2 linked regions of the Oreochromis niloticus genome follow. Each later gene encodes a partner of the first gene's protein in a complex. Links are inferred from orthologs where the notes say so. Each region holds a gene or a part of one and is shown on either strand. Other genes may lie near its edges.

Region 1 (9,857 bases):
ACTTCTGTTTCCGCATTTAATGTTGTGGCCATTTTCCCATAACTGATAGGCTTTTTACATAATTGATGACGCAGAGTGGCAGACAAAAGCTCTCCTCTAGTTGGGAGTTATTAGACCGTGATCTCCTGACCAAAAGGATCACATTAAGAAAAACATACACAAACAAATTTAAAATCATGACTCAACTCAATGTAGCTGCTTCAGTTTCTGGGTCCTGGGAATGCGTAGCCTTGCAGTCATCCTGTCAGTTACCGAGTAGAAGTACAACCATCTCTGTTTTTACAAAATATCTAGTTAACCTGTGACTTTTTTATTTTGACAATAATCTTTTAAAACTGGGTTACTCGTGTTGTACAACATGCTTTTGGAGCTTTCAGATAGATGAGCTTGTTTAGTACAAGTTTGACTGAACTGGTAAAAATAAGGAAGCCATAAAAACACGAGATATCGCCAATTATTGCTGTACTAAAAATTCTGAAGCAAACCATCTTCTGCAATTTGGAAAGTACCATTTCATGGTTTTCCTGCCCCCGTCATTACTGGCACTCACACGGTTTTCATTTCAAACATTTCTCTCCTGACTACAAAGAAGGACCCAGATATTTACAGCTGTAACTGCAACAGCTGTTTAAAGACATAATTTCATTTTCTTTATAAATCCTCTTGACTGCTGGGGGGGGCAGCACCAGTGCCAGAGATGTCAGCAGGACCCACAAACTAATCCTCAAGCCTGGACCCATCATTGGCCAGAATTTGGAGGCGTTTGAGTCAGTGAGAGACCGGAGGTCAGTGAACAAACTGCTCTCTGTCATGGACATCCCATCACACCCACTCTGCTCCACACTTCTGAGGCAGCAGAGCTCCTTCTCACTGCCATAAACAACTCAGGAAATCATTCTCGTCATTCTCTATAAAGCTGTATAATAACTCCTCGTTCTGTGACAGGTGATCACACCTGTCAGACATGTGATTCTACACATATTTCTATTGTACCTTCATGCACTTATAGCATACATATTATGTACTAATGAAGTTTGCATTACTCTTCCACAATGCCAGTCTTACTTTTACTATTTTTAACTGTCTTCATATTTACTTTAATTTGTTGTTGTTGTTATACTATGAGAGAAAGTTTTTCCATTCTCTCATAGTATAAGGTCTTTACTAGACCCCTGTGGCACTTTAACTTTGTTAAATATTGTAGGCTGTACTATTTTTATTCTTCATCTTGCTGCTGTAGCATAATCATTTTTCTTGTGGATCTATAAAGTATATATCTATATATCCATCCACTTTTTGGCACGACTGACCATAACTCGACATCACTCTGTGTCACAAGATACAAAACCTTTAGACTCTCGGCCTATGCAAGCGTCTCATCCCAGAGGCATTAGGTAGCACTGCGTGTCCGTCACATATACAATGCTGTAACACTGAGACAACAATGAGTTCAGCGCAGCGAGTGTCAGTTTTTATGCTAGCTCCTACCTGGCTGTCACTCCTCCTCTTCAGGATGCTCGCTCTGCTGTCGCTTCTTGTCACACGTCTGGACGAGCTGTCAGTCTGATGACAAGACGAAAACACATCTCAGGCGGAGTCTGAGCATCACCATCATCATCATCATCATCATGAGCCACAACAACAAAACAACAAAACAACGAACAGCTAACAGCGCTAACGCTGAGGAAGTGAAATGAAGCGACGGGCCTGACGAGTGCTTCGTTTACCCTAGCCGTTTGTTTATTTTAAGTGTTGAACAAATTAAAGACACCAAACTAATTCGGTTATTTAAAACAGCTGTGACGTTAACGACGCCGTGATTTCTGTCCGCTCACCTCTTTGATAATACTGCGCAGAGACTCGTCCTCGCTCATTCCCCGAGAAAATGAGCGCTTCTTCGGTGAACCACTGCTGTCCAGCGTGACCGAGTGCATGTTGTACGCGTTATATTACGTTTTTCTTTATATAAGAGACACCTCCGGGCTCTCTGGCTGAAGTGGTGTTTTGTACCTGCTTCCTACGCAGCTACAGGGAGCTACACCCAGGCCCTGATCTACGGAAAGCCGCAGGGACCAAACCGTGTTTAGCGCCGCCCTCGCTCCGCCCACTCTCTCTGAACAGTCAAATATCCGTCTTTTTCGGGAGACATGGGTCACGTTTGTGGCTGTGGGGAGGTTCAAATAGACTTGGTTTGTTGTAAAGTTAAGGGAGAGCATTCTGGTGCATGGCTGGAATTAATCAGTGAAAAAAGCCTGCCGTTTTTTAGTAAAGCTATAGGTACTTTTACAAACGTGGCCAGAACAATGGAAAGTGAGGTTTAACAGGACTTTTCCTGTGAAAAAAATAAGAAATCCCTTTTATTCAGTAGCTTGTAGAGCAACTTTTAGAAACAGTGACTTGAAGTAATATTTTTTTGTATGATTTTATCGGTCTCACATCATTGTCGTTACGTTGTTGCTTCAGTTCATTTCATTTATCTTAATGTCTCTTAAGATCTCACCAAAGCCATTTACTGCTTCTGTGCTTGGGATTATTGTCCTGTTGCATTACCCACATTGGGCCAAGCTTTAGCTGTTGGACATGTGGCCTCACATTTGAGTATACTTTGGTATAAAGAATAGTTCATGATCGACTCAGTGACTGCAAATATCTTTTAGCTGCAAAACAAGCCCAAATCATTACCCCTCCAACACCATGCTTGACAGCTGGTATGAGGTGTTTGTGCAAATATGCTGTGTTTGGCTTTCTGCAAATGTGATGCTTTGAATTATGGTCAAAACCTACACTTTGGTCTTGTCTATCCAAAGGACATTGTTTCAGAAGTCTTGAGGTTTGTTCAGATGCAACTTTGCAAACATAAACTGTGCTGCCATGTTCATTTTAGAGAGAAGATGCTTTCTTATTCTTATTATTTTCTTATTTAATTACGAATTGCAAATGATGAACTTGATCAATCATAAGTCATTTGGCTCAGAATAGTAAGGATTTCTAACACTTACAGACTTTGAACACCACATATTTTTATTCCGATAAACTGGAACCAAACTGAGAACACAGAAGGCAATGATTCTTTACAGAGATAAGCCAACTCCCTTACTACTCAACCTTTACAGCAACTTTTATTGATTAATCTACCAATTTAACCTTTTATTTGTCTTTTCACTCTACTCACATATAGTGACTTTTGCCCCGTCATGGTGTGAAAACACTGGTTTCTGACAAAGTTAACCTCCACAAGAACTGGATCCTGAAACTGAAGTGTTTGTACAACTTTACAAACCAAACTATTTGACAGCTGAAGAACTTAAGATGGCAGTCAATACCTGACAAAGCAAAGGTTTTTGTTTTGTCTTATTGTTATTTTTAACATGTATTACTGATAATTTAAACAAAGGGTGAAAGTGGAAGTGGAGAAAAAAGTGAACAACTGCAACAGGAAATGAGGAAACAGTTCAAACCCCCTAAATATATGATGATATTTACACAGTGTATGACTCAAAAGCTGTACACTGTTATTCATCCCAGATATATGTGTTTATTACACACAGATGATCATGACATAGTCTCATATCTTGATACAGGGTTTCTATAATTGTAGGCAGATGTAGTAATATATCAGCCTACGCATTGGTTAGATAGAATTGTTCATACAACTTCCTTCACCTTTAAGGTGATTGACTGAATACAAAATCTACACATTGCTCTCGTGCAGCGGACCAGACCCTCAGTTTGGAGCAAAAACTCCAAACCAGGTTTAAATTTTTCCTTGAGCTGTCCTCTGAACTGTAGTTTGTCACTGCGTAGCAACAGTGAGGACTGCTTACTGTAGACTCAGTGCTATGACACTTTGTTGAAACAATGACTGCCTCATTAATGACTGTTTTTCTGGTGTGCGTGAGAGATAACTGTTATTCAAAAAGAGGCCGGCCCTTTTGATTTACACCCATCAATGCAAAGACCATGAGGTTTACTGAAACCAGATCTATTTCACTGTGTATATGTAGAAACCTCACTGATCATTTTACATGAAGTTTTACAAAGCCTTTCTGCGCTTGAGTGTTTGTATGTGGGTTTAGTGTGTTAAGGCTCTGAGTAGATGTTAGATCAGCAAATCTGATCATGCAAATGATTCACACTTTATCTGCATACATGAACAGAAAAACATGCAAACGTGGAGAGGAGGGATGAGTGGCAACTGCAGTAGAATGAACATGAGTGTCTCATCACTTCAGGACTCATTAGTTTTTGTCTTTTGATCCAGTGTACTAATGATTTGTCTTAACGGAGCAACTGTTAAATATATTTTTCTGAAAAAAAGAGAAAAACTAAAAGAGTTGAAAATAACATAACACCAGATATATTACCAATGCTTTCATGTCTGATGTCTCCAAGCCTGTTGTAAAGGGACGCTTTCATACTTTGGTACTGTAGAAATTTTTGAGATGACCAAGTAAAGCATTAATTGCAATGAATTTCATTCGTTGTATTGGAGGTGCAATGCAGAATCCTCAGTTCTTTAGTAGTGGCTGAAATGTACCAAACCAATAGGGTTCCTGGTTTAGAGTGCAGCTCCTGAAGGTGAATTTTACAAAACACAGCCTCCAATGAACAGAGAGGCACGCAGCTTTGAGTCCTGCAGTCGCAACTATGTTTTTCACCAGCAGATGTCGGTGTGGTCGCACAGGCTGCTCATCGCTCAAAGAGGTGGTGCTGCGAAACTTTTAGCCTATTTTGGAAGAAGAAAAAATGAACTATAAAAATACCCAAGTGATATACATATGAAAATATGTATATGACAGTGGTTCTTGGGCACCATTTAAGTAACAACCTCACATGTTTATATATCGCTGGATGATGTTTCAGGAAAGACTGAAATTCCACAGCTCACTATAATTACATGCGTCACTTGCTCATTAGTTCATATACTGATAGGTACAAATGGCATTCACACGGGTCTGTGTATACTAATGAGTCCATCTACATTATAATTGAGAGCTTACAGACATGCTCCTGCTTAATGGCTCAAAAGTCTCCGAAGTGTAGGGTTATTAAACATAATCTATCAAAATCATGATCAGCCTTGAATGCACCCTTCTGAATTTGGAGCTATTATTTTTCAAGGAAACCGTGAGTTTGTTCTTTCTTACCGGTTTCAATGAAAACTTTCACATTCATTTTGAAGAGCCTTACAAGAATATATCTAAATAATCTGCATAATACCATCTGACAGACTTACATGAATAATTCTTATCTTCGAGTTACCAGTTTAATTAATGTACACCATAAATGTTATGTGCACGCTTCATGATTGACTGTGGTAAATTTGCAAGAAATCCATTTAGCTTTTTTCTTTTTGATTTTTATTTTTTAAATTGGCACCATTAAACATTTAACCTATTTTAAAAAACAAAAAACAAAAGCATGCGTAGTGAGCAGTTTGCCATCATCCTAATAACCTAATTGGGCTATAGGTTATCTCTAATGGGAGACATTGTTTGTGCACTGTAAAAACATTTATACTCTTTTAACGGTGCGCACACCCTCCCTTCCTCTGTCCCTCTTGACTTGGTGACAGACCTAAAAGCCTTTTGTTGCAATCTTAGCCAATGGAGGCGGATTACGACAGCGGGCAGCTGAGATATATAAAGAGCGCCTTTTTGACCGTACTTGCACATTTTTCCAGTGACACCTCTGCACATACTCACACCTCCGTGGACTAAAATTGTACAGAAATCAACAATTAGCTTATACTGCACGTGAGCAGGCTATGCATTCACCAGGCATTTAACTTTCAATCAAAGGAGCTTGTACCGACACCCTCTGCGCGCACTTTTTTTTTTTTTGTTAAAAGAAAAAAAAGAAAAAGAAAGAATATTACAAAAAGAGAAACTTCGGGTTGATCGTATTGGATTAGATGCATGTCACTTATTCTTTGCCGTTTGTAGGCTAAGACGAGGAGCGGCGCAGATTCGAGAGACGGGATCTAACGGAATAAAGTGCGTAAAAAACAAGATAAGGAAGGGGAGGAAAAGTTGCGTTTTCTGTTGTCCACGCATCGTCATGCCGAGGTACAACTTCTTACTGTGCTTGATGGTGCTCATCTCCTTGGGACAGTCGGGGAGCGATGAGCCCAATCTGCTGCTGCCTCCTGCCAGCGAGACGCCCACGGATGCCGGGCTATCTCTGCTGGATGAGGACGCCGGTTCTCACGAGTGTTCCGCTTGTGTTTGGAGGGAGCAGAGCAAAGTGCTGAGACTGGAGACCATCAAGTCCCAGATCCTGAGCAAACTGCGTCTGAAGCAGGCGCCCAACATCAGCCGGGAGGTGGTCAATCAGCTGCTGCCCAAGGCGCCCCCGCTCCAGCAGCTTCTGGACCATCACGACTTCCAGGGAGATGCTTCGTCCCAGGATGAGTTTATGGAGGAGGATGAGTACCACGCCACCACGGAGTCCGTGATTACTATGGCCTCTGAGCGTGAGTAATAGTTTACAACCTAACAATGATATTGTCTCCAAATGCGTCATGCGCGTAATTGGGGAGCAGGATAGGTTCAAGTGGCTCAGGCCTGCTGCGCGGACAGTCGGTGACCTACCCTACTTTTAGTGATTGAGATTAAAGGAAACTAACTGGTAAAATTAGACAGCTGTCAAAAGGAGGGGATAATGTGTGAAACTGATAAATCAATAACTGGCAGCACAAAGAACCTCATCACTCTGAACGGACAGCGCCAATATGGCTTGATTGACTTTTGTTTTCATGACGACGATGATGATGAAGCTGAGTGTTTCATATTTAGCTGCTGGACTCCTTGCTGTCACGTTAAACTCTCCATTTCTCCCATAACGTTTTAAGAAGACGAGGCATGGCAGAGCCGTTTGAATGTCAAGTGCATTATTAATGATAATGCAGCATTTGGCTGGCAGTTGCATCACTTTATCCTTTAATGTCTTCCTTTGCATAAAGGCCTTAAATTCTGGAGTTATCACATCTCGAGGCCCTCTGATTATTGTCCTCTAACAATTTGCTCGCCCTCCCATTGTTTCCCATAAATCCACAGATAAACCACAGGCAGGCCCCCTCTGAGACATTTTATAAAATTACTTTTGAACCCTGGCAGCTGTGCTCTATCGCTCTTTTATAGGAGGCTCTACCGGTTCCCCTGCTGTTCATCGCAGTGAGAAAAAGTGTGTCCAAAAAGCTGCTATTGTTCGCCTCATGCAGCGGCCCCCCTCGGCCGCACTTGCCTTTTAAATGCGAAGTTTATAGGCGCAGCTCGTTTTTTTTTTCACCAAGAGTACACAAAGACAGAGAATCACTTAGGGTCGAGGGGAGTGTGTGACCTTTTCCTGGTGAAGCGCGGGGTTCAACAACATTTACACACGTAATATATTCTGCACAAGGCGGATGAAACACTCTGCAAATAATCCTTTTTTTCACTCCCTGGCTGAACAAAGACCTCTATCTATCTATCTATCTATCTATCTATCTATCTATCTATCTATCTATCTATCTATCTATCTATCTATCTGTGTGTGTATGTGTGTGTGTGTGTGTGTGTGTACTGCCACTCACCTGTAATGGAAAGCACCACCTGTCTTTGTCATTATAACAACAAAAAACCATTAACTCAAATGTTAGCTATTGAAATGTCCTCTAAATTGCTCTATTTCAATGCAGTTAGAGGAGGCCACATGTGCTGTTTAGTTCTCACATTATTCACATTATTTTGAACCTCAGATATCCTTCAAGTTTCCTGTTTGCCTTGATTGTTGTGACTCATAAAAAGGATATCAGTGCACAGATGATGTCTTACTGCAGGTGAAATCACTGTAAAAAATTTGCTTTGATTTCAAACTGCTTAATATAAGCAGCAGTTCATAAATACATGAGCGCTGTCTCTGTTTTCCCTTTTGTTACCTGCTCACAAACACATGTAGGGTGTATTTGGTTTGTTATTGTCACCTCTCTGATCGGCTGATTAAGAAATCTCACATTCGACTGCATTGCTGACACACTCAGTGTACATTCTGGGAAACACAGTGACTTCAAATTATATTTTTACCCCTGGTTTTCATCCTCTGCACCACCTGACACGCATACATATTCTCTTTCTAACGCACACACACGCACATACACACTGTGCAGGGATTTGATATCTCGTCAAGCCAGAAAAAGGCATTGTGTGAGCTTATTGTGCGTTTCTGACGGCCCCACAGCGGCAAGAGAAGCTAATGATTGACATTACTGCTGAATCTGTCATGTTAGGGAGCAGCACTTCCTCTCTCATCTGTTTGCCTCATCTCTTTACATCAGCTACTGTTTTTTTTATCATCAGCTCTCTCTCTCTCTATCTCTCTGTATTCCTCATCACGCCCGCCTCCACCTTCTTCCCGGTTAGCCCCCTCTCTCCTTCCTCTTTTTCCCCCCTCGGTACTCATGGAAGAATTGAGCGAATGAGCGCATCTCCTTTGCCTGTGGCGCTTTAGTTATCCCACAGGATTAAAAGTGCCCTTTTTTGTCTCTCTGATAGAAGGAAGACTTCAAACACTATTCCCTGTGCACCTCGAACCCAATCACCCTTTCACGGTCGTGCACACTGCCTTTGATTGGGCCACGGGGGTTCACACAGTACATACTGAACTGGACCTGTGCCAGAGTTGCTTCTTAGTATTCACTCAAGGTACGTGGGTGCCGCAGTGGGGGTTGAGAGGGTCCATGCTTCCTGGTCTGTAATTACTATGAAATTTCATGGAAAAGTACATCTATTTATATCATAGTGCGGCACTTTATGTACTGAAACATCTCCCCTCTGTACAGCGTGCTGTTTAGGTAAACCACTCCGCTTGTTTCCCTCACAGAAAAAGTGACCCGGCTTTGATCAGCGTGTCAGAGAATTTTTATTAACAAATGCATGCATGTGTATCTGCGTGTGAGCTGCTCTATTTGTGTTCCTATTTGTTGATTTATGTGTCTAATTATGTGTATTTTGGGGCTTGGTTTGTTTTGCCCGAGGTGGGGTGAGGATTTGACCCCACTAGTCTCTCATTTGTCACCTGTCCAAAAAACCTTCAGTCCAGACCTTCCTCCGCCACCAGCAACCTCCTCCTCCTTTTTTTTTCTTCCTTTTTCTTCTTCTGTATGCCTTCATGCTAATTTGCCACACTTTATGACTTCTGCCAGCCAGTAGAAAACACCAGAAGAAGCATTACAGTAATTGCTCAGACAGTTACTGCACTTCATTTACTGCAATAGACTTGCAGGCCACAAGAAAGTTATAGTACTGCTGGTCATTCTTTAGATTTAGTGAATGTCTTTTCTTCGCTGTAAAGACTCTTTTCTTTTATGTTTGCACTTTTTTCCAGCTCATGGACATATCAGTGTGTCCAAAATGTGAGAAATGACTGGCAGTTTGCAGCAAAACACTTACCGTTAGGGGGATGAGTACTTAAGGTTTAGAAGAACTCAAGACCACCAGATTGAATGCATCCTTAAATAGCACTTTCTCTTTTAAACTATTTTATCCCACGTTTTGTTCAGTAAATGAGGATTTAGTAGAGGCCTACATTATGCCATTTTATACTGGCATTGTTATGTAATCCTATTCAGGTGAACCACATTCAGCCAGCATGAGCACCGGTTTACACAGCTCTCGATTAAAGAGAGACATCCACACGCATGTCGAGGTATGTATGTGCCATTTTCCGCATGTGCACGCTTGTGTAGACACACAGGGTGCCCACACACACCTACTCACACAGTCACACACACACTCCAGAGAAAAGTTCTCCTATTGACAAAAAGGGTCACAGAGTTCACAGCTATGTGATATATTGGAAGAGGAGACTATTAACCTCAT
Region 2 (10,461 bases), on another chromosome or scaffold:
CTGAAGATTTGTGGGTTTATAAATGGCTCACACTGGTCTATGACAGGCAGTTTACATGAATCTCAGTGTACAAATCCATCATTGTTATCAATGGTACCAATGTTACAATCACCTTATGCACGTCATACATATTCTTTCTTTTTTACCGACGTGTTGGCGGTGTGGTTTATGTCACAAGAGGCAGTGCATTTTGAATCAATTGATTATAGCCAAAAATTTAAAAAAAAAAAATAGACCATTTCCAGGAAATTAACAATGTGACCATGGAATTTACAAGCTGTAAAGATGTGGACATTAAACCATTAATGATTGAAAAAATACTGCATGGGATTTAAGGCAACCTGCTCCCGCAGGTCACTAGCACGACCATAGACACACCTATTTTTTCAGAAAGTATAGATCCACTGCAAACAGTTTGCTGATATAAGTTTTTCGCGCATCTTTCTGTTAGCAGGATTTGCAGAATTGGGAAAACGTGAAAACAAAACGAAAATTAAACAAAAAAACAACACGAGAACAAAAGCCAGCGACGAGGACAATGTCATGCAAGTTCTTCCATTCCCCAAGTCTTTTCTGCTTGCTTAAGATGTGGTTGGTGATGTGGCCGGGATGGGAGCTCAGGGAAAATCAGGGTAGGTGGTAGGTGGGGGGCAATTTCACGGGAGGTTTTTGTTGGGAAAGCAACATAGAATATTGTCTTTTGCTCAGAGAAGGAGGGGACGATTTTGTTTCTTTCTTTTCTTTTTATATTTTGCTTTTGTAATTTACTTACAGTTGCAAGATCCTAAGTGTTTGACTTCAAGCAGCACCCCCATTGAGCAAGCAGCTTGCTTCATGGCACATTCACTGGGATATGTGGTGTTGTCGCTGGCACACACCGCCTCATCTGTCCTACTCTCCGGACAGGACTCATCGCACAATGAGCAACGGCCTCGGCCCATCCGAGCATCCCACAGACACTTCTTCCCCGCGCTGCACTGGATATCCTCACATGACTTGGCCTCTGGAAGAAGAGAAAAGGAAATAAGGAGAGAGGAAATCTTTGATTAGATGAATTATCATGAATGTTTTTCAAGCAGGATCAGATGACTACCTAGTTTTTTAGAGAATTAGAGAGAATAAAAACTAAATCCTGCTTTACAGGATAAGGCCTCGTGGTGTGGAACAGAAATCTTTGTTTTTAATTAGCCTTTTAAAGACTACAAGACTGAAATTGACTACTATCTGTGTAAGAATCAATCTGACTCAAAACTTGAAGCATGTCTTCATGGCCCCCAGCACTCCCCTGTTTTCCTCCATCTCCCTCCCCCTCTCATTCCCTCTTTCCCAAATGGGAAAGTGCTGCCAACATCAGGAAATAATAAGATGTCTATCATTTCTTGAGCAAACACAAGCAACTACCAAACACACATTCTCTCTAAGACCCCCTCCTCACTGGAATGTTGGCAAAAATGAGCAGTGAATTACTGCAGAGCTGGCCAGAAAGAAAATGCACTCAAACAGTTTTCAGAGTCGGTGACTGCTGCACCTCTCTCTCTCTCTCTCTCTCTCTCTCTCTCTCTCTCTCTCTCTCGGGGAGTAAAGTCTCACGCTTTCATGCGTGTAGCTGCAGACTTACTGATGCATTTTCCCTCATATGCCACTCCAATAGACCTGCCGAGGAGACAGGTAGCTCTTCTCAGGTGACACGCGCTGGCATAGATGATCCCATCGTTTCCACACAGGTATTGCTCGGGCGACGTCACCTCGGGGCAAATCCGATTACACGTCACACAATACGCGTTGTTGGTCTGGTCTACGACGCATGTGGAGCTGCCGGGGCACAAGACGTCACGGCACGTTTCTGGCGAGACAAAGACATTGGGAGAGTTGTGTGAAAATGACACGAAATGCAAGAAATACAAGAAAGCGACGGATTCTTTCGGGCTCGCTCGGCTTTCAGAAATGTGGTGACAGTTACATTTACTTACTCTTGCATTTGCCCTGGTACTGTACGTCCAGATCGGGGTGACCTTTGCATTTAGCTTTCAGCAGTGCGCATTCGTCTTTGTAGGTCTTTCCATCGGAGCCGCAGACAGGTCCTTTCCAGGTGATGTTGGAGCAGTCTGGTGCGCACACGCAGCGCGGCTTGCTTCTTCGGTTCAACTTGCACCTCTTTCCGGGCCCACAGTCAACATTGTCGCAGGTTTCTAAAACAAAAGCACTGTGTTATGTGATGCTAATGAGGATTTTTCCCCCTGGTGTGTATTCTGGCGCGTAAAGTAATGGGACAATTACGCAAACCAGAACACCAGTTTAATTCATTAACCAAAATGAGTGATTACATGTAATGTGAGAAAACGAAGGGAAATGAGTGCACCTCCACCTTTGCAAGGTATGCAATTGGGAGCTCCGCCATTGAAGATCATCCACCTAAAGAGCGTGCTGTTGGGGACGTCCTCCTCGGTCCAGGACGTCCCCAGTCTTCCACTCCGACAGCACTCCTCCCTGCTCATCCCGGGCATGTAGAGCACCTGGCACCTCCCGTTTTTCCCCTGCTGCAACCAACAGTTCCCAGCTGTAGACGAAAAACAAAAAAGCTCGAATGCCGCATGTTGGACGTCTAAAAACCCGCTGACCCAGACTCAATATACACACGCAGCCGTATTATCCGAGACGCTCCCTCCCTCCCTTTTCGCCCTCCCGACAGTATTTTGTCTGATTTTTTTTGCGAGACTGTTAACACTTGCCTATCCCAACTGTGACTGACAGCCCTTACAATGCAGCCATAACCAAAAAAGTAAGAAGAATCTTCGGAGGGGGGTTGTCTTTTATTCCCAGTGTCTGCTTGCTATCACTGGACAGAAACGGGAGCGTCTAGACAGCGTTAAATAGCAGCCAATCTTTCTCCTTTAGAAAACCACGGTCTTTAGGTAACAAGGCTACACACACCACCGTCTCCAACGCCTCACTCACTATGTTATCCCAGACAGCAACCAGACAATGACTTACTTATTAACAAAGCAATGTAAAGTTTATTTCAGAGATATTAAAATGTAAAACAGAACAGTTTTTCCAGTTCCATGCCAAAAAATATTACTTCCTCCAGACAGTAACAGCATGTTTAAACCGACAAAGACACAAATACATTTTTTTAATCTTCATGAGATAGTGTGTTTCTTATGCTGAATTGAAATATGTCCCCCCGAAACCATGAATGATGGGTGCAAAAGCCTGCATAGTCAAAAACCTGCATAGGTATAAAACTGCAACTGTTTTTGCACACAATACAGAAAAGCTACTTGCGGGATGTATAAATAACGCGCTCACAGTGGATATTCTGAAGTTTGTTGGAGCATTGACAACAACATCGCGGAATGCTAAACGCTCACACAGTTGCAAAAATATGTTCAGGTATTGTGAAAGACTGTCCCCAACACGGCGTGGCGGCTGTAGTGTGCGCGCCTGGTGACGACTGCAAAACTTGCCATATAATATCACTTTGAAGTGTCCCACAGGGCACCTGTTTTCTATACGCTTTACGCAAGCACTGCCTGATGTAGAAAGACTTTTATCAAGAAACTTTGAAAAGTTTCTCGGTGGCAGCAAGTGGAAGACACCCCGCGGGTTCTGTGACTGACAGCAGTGCACGTTTTAAAAAAAGAAAAAAAAGCGAAAGAGAATAAAAGGAAATTGATAAGGAGAGCTTACCTTGAACTTTTTGATGTTCCATGAGGTGACAAAGCCATAAGAACAAGAGAAAAATGCCCGGGTGAAGGTGGTGTTTCAGCATCCCAAACATGATGGAGAGGCAAAGTGAACCACGTATTTGACACAGGCAGCGCAAAAGTAATCTGCTTAAGGTGGCAGTGTTGAATAAGTGTCAGTCTGAGAATGCAGCCTCTCTTTAAATCTATAAGGGGTCTCGGGTTGACTGTCTCTGGTGGGCGGTCTCCTCTTCTATGGGGGTGGGGAAATTTTTTTTCCTTCCTTACCAAACTTCTTTCAATCCCAATCAGGTGACATCGTTACTAGCAACTTTCTCTTTGCCGCAATAATTAAAGGATATGAAAATACTTGAAAGAAAACACCATACTTGGAGCTCAGGCAGCTCTGCAGAGAAAGAAAGCGCAAGATGGAAAAAAGTATCAGCTGATATGAAAATTTGTTGTTGTTTTGAAATCAACACTGTTCCCGAAGTTTAATTTCAACCCGTTTGATACTTCTATCACATCATTTATCACTTTCACGTGACTCGCGTGGAAGAATGAGCACTCATGGGCTTTGCATCCTCTATACACATGGCGTGGATATGTGCTCTTTAATAATAATAATAATAATGATAATAATAATAATAATAATAATAATAATAATAATAATGATGATGATGATGATGATGATGAACAGACAGGCCCACTGCCAGCATGCCTTTCCAGGCATACCATCAGTGCTTCAAATTAAGATTACTATTTGGTGGTAACTGATTTTTTTTTTTTTTCCACCAACTGCAGACAAAAGAGCAAATCTTTTTGATGTGAGTTGCCTTTTGGAACACATCCGAGCCCAGACAATAATAGAATTCGTAGTAGTCCGCAGCCGCACTGCTAATGTTAGAACAGACAGTTGTTTGGGTTTCTCTCCCGGGTCAAGCTTTTAAATATAATCAAACCTGTTTCCGAAGAGGCTTCAGACAGAGAAGCAGGGTGTTGCGTTTCATTGAATGAAACACACACACACACACACACACACACACACACACACACACACACACACTGCTCTCCGCTCACAGACGCTGAACTCCTTCAGAAGTCCTTGCGCGACCTCTTCAGCGGAATTCTGGTTACAGCTCTCCAGAGCAAAGTGTCTGCTGTGCGAACCAGACACCAGGAAATTAATTAACTGACGGTCAGGTAGAAGACACTGTGATCTCTTTGTCTGTATCCAGTTAAATACCACTCACTGTACAGTTTATCTCCATGATACTAATATCTGGTATCAAATCTATATTTATGTAAGATTTTAATATAGACCAGGATGTGTGTGTGTGTTGTGTGTGTGTGTGTGTGTGTGTGTGTGTGTGGGAGAGGGGGGTGTGGGGGGGGGGGGCTTTTCTCTTAAAAAAGACGTCAACCGTTACCTATGTGATCACTCCTATTACAGACAGATCATTACTGTTATAAGCAATGAACAATATTAATGTTATTACATTTTTTTTAGGATTAGAAGTAATAAAAGGTAGCTCAAAAGGGGGTTTCCACGATAGCATACACAGGACTCATAAAAAACGAATGAACACACAGTCCTAATGTGTGAGACAACATGCTTTTTCTGACTGCTTGATTTTCAGTGCAAAACAAGTTTTTAACACAAACCCCCCATAAAAGACCTTGCAATCGTCTTAATTTCCTTCAATCAACAAAAATGGTTCTGATACAGCAAATATGAGACCAGAACAAATATTTTGACCATTTTCTGCAGTCCTTATCAGCTAATTTGATCCTCTGGTGGCAAATATTTGTATATTTTTAATCTCATTTTAACCCTTCTGCAGAAAATTGTTATCAGAATGATTTATAGCTTGTGTTAACTGTTATCAGAGCAATCACCGAAGCTTTATGCAGTTTTGCATATTTGGATAAAGACTGAACATTTAAGCCAAGCTTTTTTAGAAACATCGTTAAGTAATTAAGGTCCCTATAATCAAATATGTATAATCTGTTTGAAGGACACTTTTCTGCATCATGTGTAAATGCCACAGATGATTTATGATTTTATCAAGAGACTAAAGTATCTGGTTATAAAATCTTGTGTGGGTGATCAGGAAACTGACTTTTGATAGCAAAATGAACAAATGTGCCAAATAAAGGTTATTTATAGATTATATATTACTTGTTTGGGAACTTTTAATTGATATTTGAGACAATTCTTCATTTCAACAAATCAAGAAAACATTCATTTGATCTTAAGTTATGTTCAACAAATCATTCAGTGTCTGGTGTGAATGATTTGTGAGATCAGTGTCTTTGAAGAGCTGAAGTTTCCAAAACACTTCCCAACATGCAAGCCCTCTTCTGTCCTGCTGTATCAACTTTAAAGTGCTGGCTCTGGTCCTGAAGCCATTAATGGCATAAGCAAAGGGACAAGCAGGGCTCAGGCTCTGAGCTGAATTTGGTTCAAACAGGCCCATGAAGCAAATGATTAGTACTGACTGGAATGTTTTGCCACTCTTTGCCAGTATAATAAAGTATAATAAATATACTTGAGTATAATAAAATCCTGATTAGCTCCATGAACTTCTGATATCATGGAGGGCATCCATTTTCATTTGAACAAGCATATTTGTGATAAAATCCCAAAAGATTAGGCTCCAATACCGCATGCATCTGTATCTACAAAAACATCTATAATCTACCTTGAGCATTTGTGCAGAAAAGATGAAGTTTTCTATTGTTTAAAGATAGAAATGGAAAAAACCAAAACAACCAGCAGCTTGGTTTCACAATGCAGAGTTTATAGTTGAAATGCAGGTAGCGCTCAAGAGTTTCACAAAGTGCAAAAAAGACCAACAGTTATTAAATCATTTGCTACGACTTGCTGATATACAAGAATGCTGCAGGAATCTGTGAGTAATCATTCCTTTATGATATAACTCATTTATTTGGCTGGAACCGCCAATCACCTGCAGGAGACACTAGAGAAATTAATTTACAAAAGGTATACAAACACTTTCACTGTATCTCATTTCATCAACTCTTTCCACATTGCTCCCTGTACACATATAGACAGAATCCACAGGCTGTTTCACAACACCGCAGCCCATGAGTAATCGTGAAACAGAGTAGTTGAGTCATTTATCAAATTCTATATATTCTCTCCAACAAGAAGACTCGAGCCTAAACTCACAAAAAATATGCTGCTTATTAGAGAGAAATAGCATATTCCATTGAGCCAGATCCAACAAAATGTACATTAAAGACTCTGCTGGGTACTGGCGTTGGCTTGCTGCAAAGGAAAACATTCAGAAACACATTCCTAAACAGTCAAGGGAGAGACTAACCTAACGGTGGGAGAACCTGACAGTCAAAAATGTGAGAGGGAATTAATTGAGTTTGAGGGGAAACTCAGTTGTACTGGAGCGGTCCAAGTAGGGTTCCCAGCAGGGTCAGAGGAGGGGAGAGCAGAGGAGAGAAGAGGAGAGGAGCGGGGTGATGGAAAACAAAATAGCTATAGCTATAACTCCTTAATTGTGATATACAATTCAATAAGAATGTGGGGCATCCAAATCATCAACTGAGTAATGAAAAAACAAACAAACCAGACTAGAACATTGCCAACACGTCATTTGTAACATGCTGCCATCTTGTGGTAAAGTAGTGCCAGTACATGTTTGGCTCCTCATTCAATCTTTTCTGTAACATGGGTGTTGGCTGCGTGTGAAATATTCTGCCTTCTTTGCTTTTTGTTGTTAATTTTTGGGGATTTTGATGCTGTGTGCTGGCAGAAAAAGGACATCCAGTTTTTGACATCACCATCTATGGTCTGGCTATACATTTGTTATCTGAAATTAAATATGGAAACCATTCTTTGATTCACAGACAAAATAAATAGACACATTTATGTATAAATTGTCAGCCTTAAGCAATTTTCTACCAAACTCGTCATACCTGAATAACTGTGATATTACTGGGATTTTACAAATATCATCAATAACAATACAAATACACAAATATATATCCCATTGACCCATGTTGTCAACAACATTTCCATATATAAACACAAATATGGAACCCCATGATTTGATTCTAAAGTATATACAGTACTAACACAGTAATTACAAATTTCACTCACTTTGCATTATAAGTATTGTATCTGTTTTGCATATAAGCTCCTGATATCACTAGTCCTATTACAAAAAACAGTCCTGAGTGGCAGAGATGACAGTAGATCTCAAGCTAATTTGTACTACAGAGTTACTGCCTTCTTTAAAAAGTTCAATGTTTTGACAAATGTGCTACATTCACAAGTATTCTAATTGAAAGAGTGATGACTGAAATTCATCAAAACAAACAGTAATGCATAAAAGTGATGCTTTTACAGTGTAAAACTCAAGAGGGCAACAATTCAAAGATTTTAGCAAAGGCTTCAAAATCACTGCAGTACAAAAGGGTGCCAGTGTTAGCAAAAAATACAGTTTTGAACCTATACATTTCAAAGTCAGTGCAAATACTCCACAAAGAGTAAAGACTGATAATAATTCTCTGTAAAGTGTGCAAAGCATTGAATCCCAGTAACACTGACGCTCCAGTTTCCAGTAAAATGCCAGCTTCCAGTGGCGGAGCTGCAGTCTATTCACACTTTACAAGAACTAATGAGAAGTACCAGAAGAAAGAGAAAGCTGTGGGTTTTCTCTTCACAGCACCTCATCGCCCTGCGGGTTGTGCTGTGCATCTTCCGTCTGAAGCTGCTGATACTTTCTTTTGAAAAATCCAAACTAGAAAGAAAAGTGTGACAGAAAAAGTGAACCAAGAATACTTCCACAGACTTTTACAAGACCAGTTACCAGTTTTAACTGTTTTCTTTCTTATATCCCTGTGCTATGTAGCATATTGGTGAGGAATTCTTGGAATCACTAAACTGAAAGCTGCAGATTTCTTTGAAATCATCCGTATCTGTTCATGGCGGGAGGGGGCGGCAAAGATCAAATGCTCATTTTACAAATGTACATCATCCTAAGTTTTACATATCCTACTGTTGTTCCTCTACATCTTAACAAAAGCAAACAAACAAACAAAAACATACCTTCCACAGCAGCGCAACAGCCAGAGCCAACAGCAACAGTCCAGCTATGACGCTGCCAACTATGACGCCAACTGGAACATCAGCCGTCTCTCCGGGTTTGCTGACTCTCAACCCAAGCTGGAGAGCAAGAGAACAGGAGACATCATTGCCTTGTCTGTCTCCATCAAATCCAGGCGTAATAGTTTAAAATAAAACCAGAAATTGCATGATTAACAATATAAGCAAAAATAAATGAATAAAACATTCTTACATAAGAGCACTCATGTGCTTTACACTGCTCTTTGCATACAAAATTGTGAAAATGATCAGGACAATTGAGTATGCTCATCAGCTGAAGTAACTGTGCTGCTCTTTTAAGCAAACAGCATCATGTTAGTCAGATTTAAGCAGTAAAGTAACAAACTGAAATATAATCTTACAGTCAGCTGTTTGTTTTTGATAATGAGCAGATCAGGTTTGTCGGTCTTCACTTCCAAACTGGAGGTCAGCTCAACGGTCTGATAGGTGGCCTAACATAAAAAAAAATTACACGAATTATGTTAATGTAACTGATTAATTCCACAATTAATAACTTAAGAAACGTAACGATAATAAAAGCAGACCAACTTTCTAAAATCGATATGAAGATATTTACCGAAATAAAAGTGCTGTTCCAGATCCTCGTTTTAACGTTCACAAAGTAGGTGCTCTTAACTTTAGTGTCTTTGAGGATGCACTTTATAGATTCACAGTTTGCACTCTTGCAGTCCTGTTAGTTTAAAAAAACATCAGGAAACAACACTCAGTATTAGTAAAAAAAAGAAAAGCAATGTGATATTATTTAAGGTGCATATACTGTAAGGTTATATGTAAAAAAAGAAAAAATGAATAGCTTTATTATTCATGTAGGAAATACAAAACTATAGAAGTAGTGCATCAAAACAATCATTTTTTGCATACAAACTATTTTCTTACCATATTATGCGTCAAAAGATTTCTGTGCATTATGTGCACATGTGCAGATTTAGAATTGTGCATAACTTCCTGCTACAAGCAACAGTTTTGTAAATATTTCACTGACCAGCTTCTCCATTCCTCTGAAGCTCTCCGCAGAGAAGGACACAGTCTGAGCGTTCTCACCGATCTTCAGAGGGTTGACTAGATTGTGTTCACAGCTGACTGAACCTCCCTGCAGAAGGAGGAGAAGCGCTCTGTCATTTACTGTATGGATATAACACTTGAATGCAGTAAAAGTTGAAGAAATTGTACGCAGCCTGATAGTTAAAAACAAATTTGGGAGTAAAACTTTAGTAACCAATAGAAACACAAACATTCATAACAGAAAACACTCTTTCATTTCTAAGCTTTGACCACTCGCTCTGCGCTGTGTGTGTGGCTGGTCTCATCTGCCAGCAGTGGAGCGCTGGTGTGGCTCCACTGCCGCACCAGCTAGTTGTGAGTACCTAGCTTGTTGGAGGCTTGACTGTAAACCAGTCAAGCCTCCAACAAGCTAGGTACTGTGTACTGGTTGAGTGTTTAAATAGCCCAAAGCTAATCTGCAAGAAGACCAGGGTTATTGGAGTAGGTTAACACAGGGGTGCTTCCACTTTACTTAAGAGACATGTTGCATTGACCTGAACTGACCCGGAGCAACACTGACTTTTGTCTTTATTAGGGTTTATGTGGGCCTTAAGCTAAATCATG

What was found.
Region 2: the proteins of gdf11 (region 1) and fsta are in contact, whole or in part, in a crystal structure (PDB 5JHW), measured with the Homo sapiens proteins. The link is inferred for Oreochromis niloticus from reciprocal best matches to the Homo sapiens genes GDF11 and FST. Residues at the interface, in NP_005802.1 of Homo sapiens: Asn299, Leu300, Gly301, Leu302, Glu310, Arg312, Asp328, Trp329, Ile331, Ala332, Lys334, Arg335, Tyr336, Lys337, Tyr347, Met348, Phe349, Met350, Pro354, His357, Gln361, Ile380, Asn381, Leu383, Phe385, Asp387, Lys388, Gln389, Gln390, Ile391; in NP_037541.1 of Homo sapiens: Leu34, Arg35, Gln43, Val44, Leu45, Tyr46, Lys47, Thr48, Arg60, Ser62, Asp72, Asn73, Leu75, Phe76, Met79, Ile80, Leu134, Asp135, Arg149, Gln153, Pro154, Glu155, Val180, Val181, Asp182, Gln183, Tyr188, Val190, Thr191, Asn193.

Annotation. Positions count from the first base shown.
Region 1 is NC_031970.2:24,547,756-24,557,612, forward strand, and holds the start of gdf11 (growth/differentiation factor 11), read left to right. Parts: upstream 1-5,585; 5' UTR 5,586-6,060; coding exon 6,061-6,475; intron 6,476-9,857. Other genes in the region: si:ch1073-456m8.1 (leucine-rich repeat flightless-interacting protein 1), read right to left, coding at 1,489-1,563, 1,836-1,934. UniProt on the Homo sapiens protein: Secreted signal that acts globally to regulate anterior/posterior axial patterning during development. May play critical roles in patterning both mesodermal and neural tissues. It is required for proper vertebral patterning and orofacial development.
Region 2 is NC_031977.2:26,386,786-26,397,246, reverse strand, and holds the start of fsta (follistatin-A), read right to left. Parts: upstream 3,895-10,461; 5' UTR 3,782-3,894; coding exon 3,691-3,781; intron 2,558-3,690; coding exon 2,360-2,557; intron 2,190-2,359; coding exon 1,971-2,189; intron 1,844-1,970; coding exon 1,619-1,843; intron 1,004-1,618; coding exon 773-1,003; intron 1-772. Other genes in the region: itga2.2 (integrin alpha-2), read right to left, coding at 8,390-8,470, 8,779-8,895, 9,198-9,287, 9,413-9,526, 9,839-9,946. UniProt on the Homo sapiens protein: Multifunctional regulatory protein whose primary function is to antagonize members of the transforming growth factor beta (TGF-beta) superfamily including activin, myostatin, GDF11 or bone morphogenetic proteins (BMPs).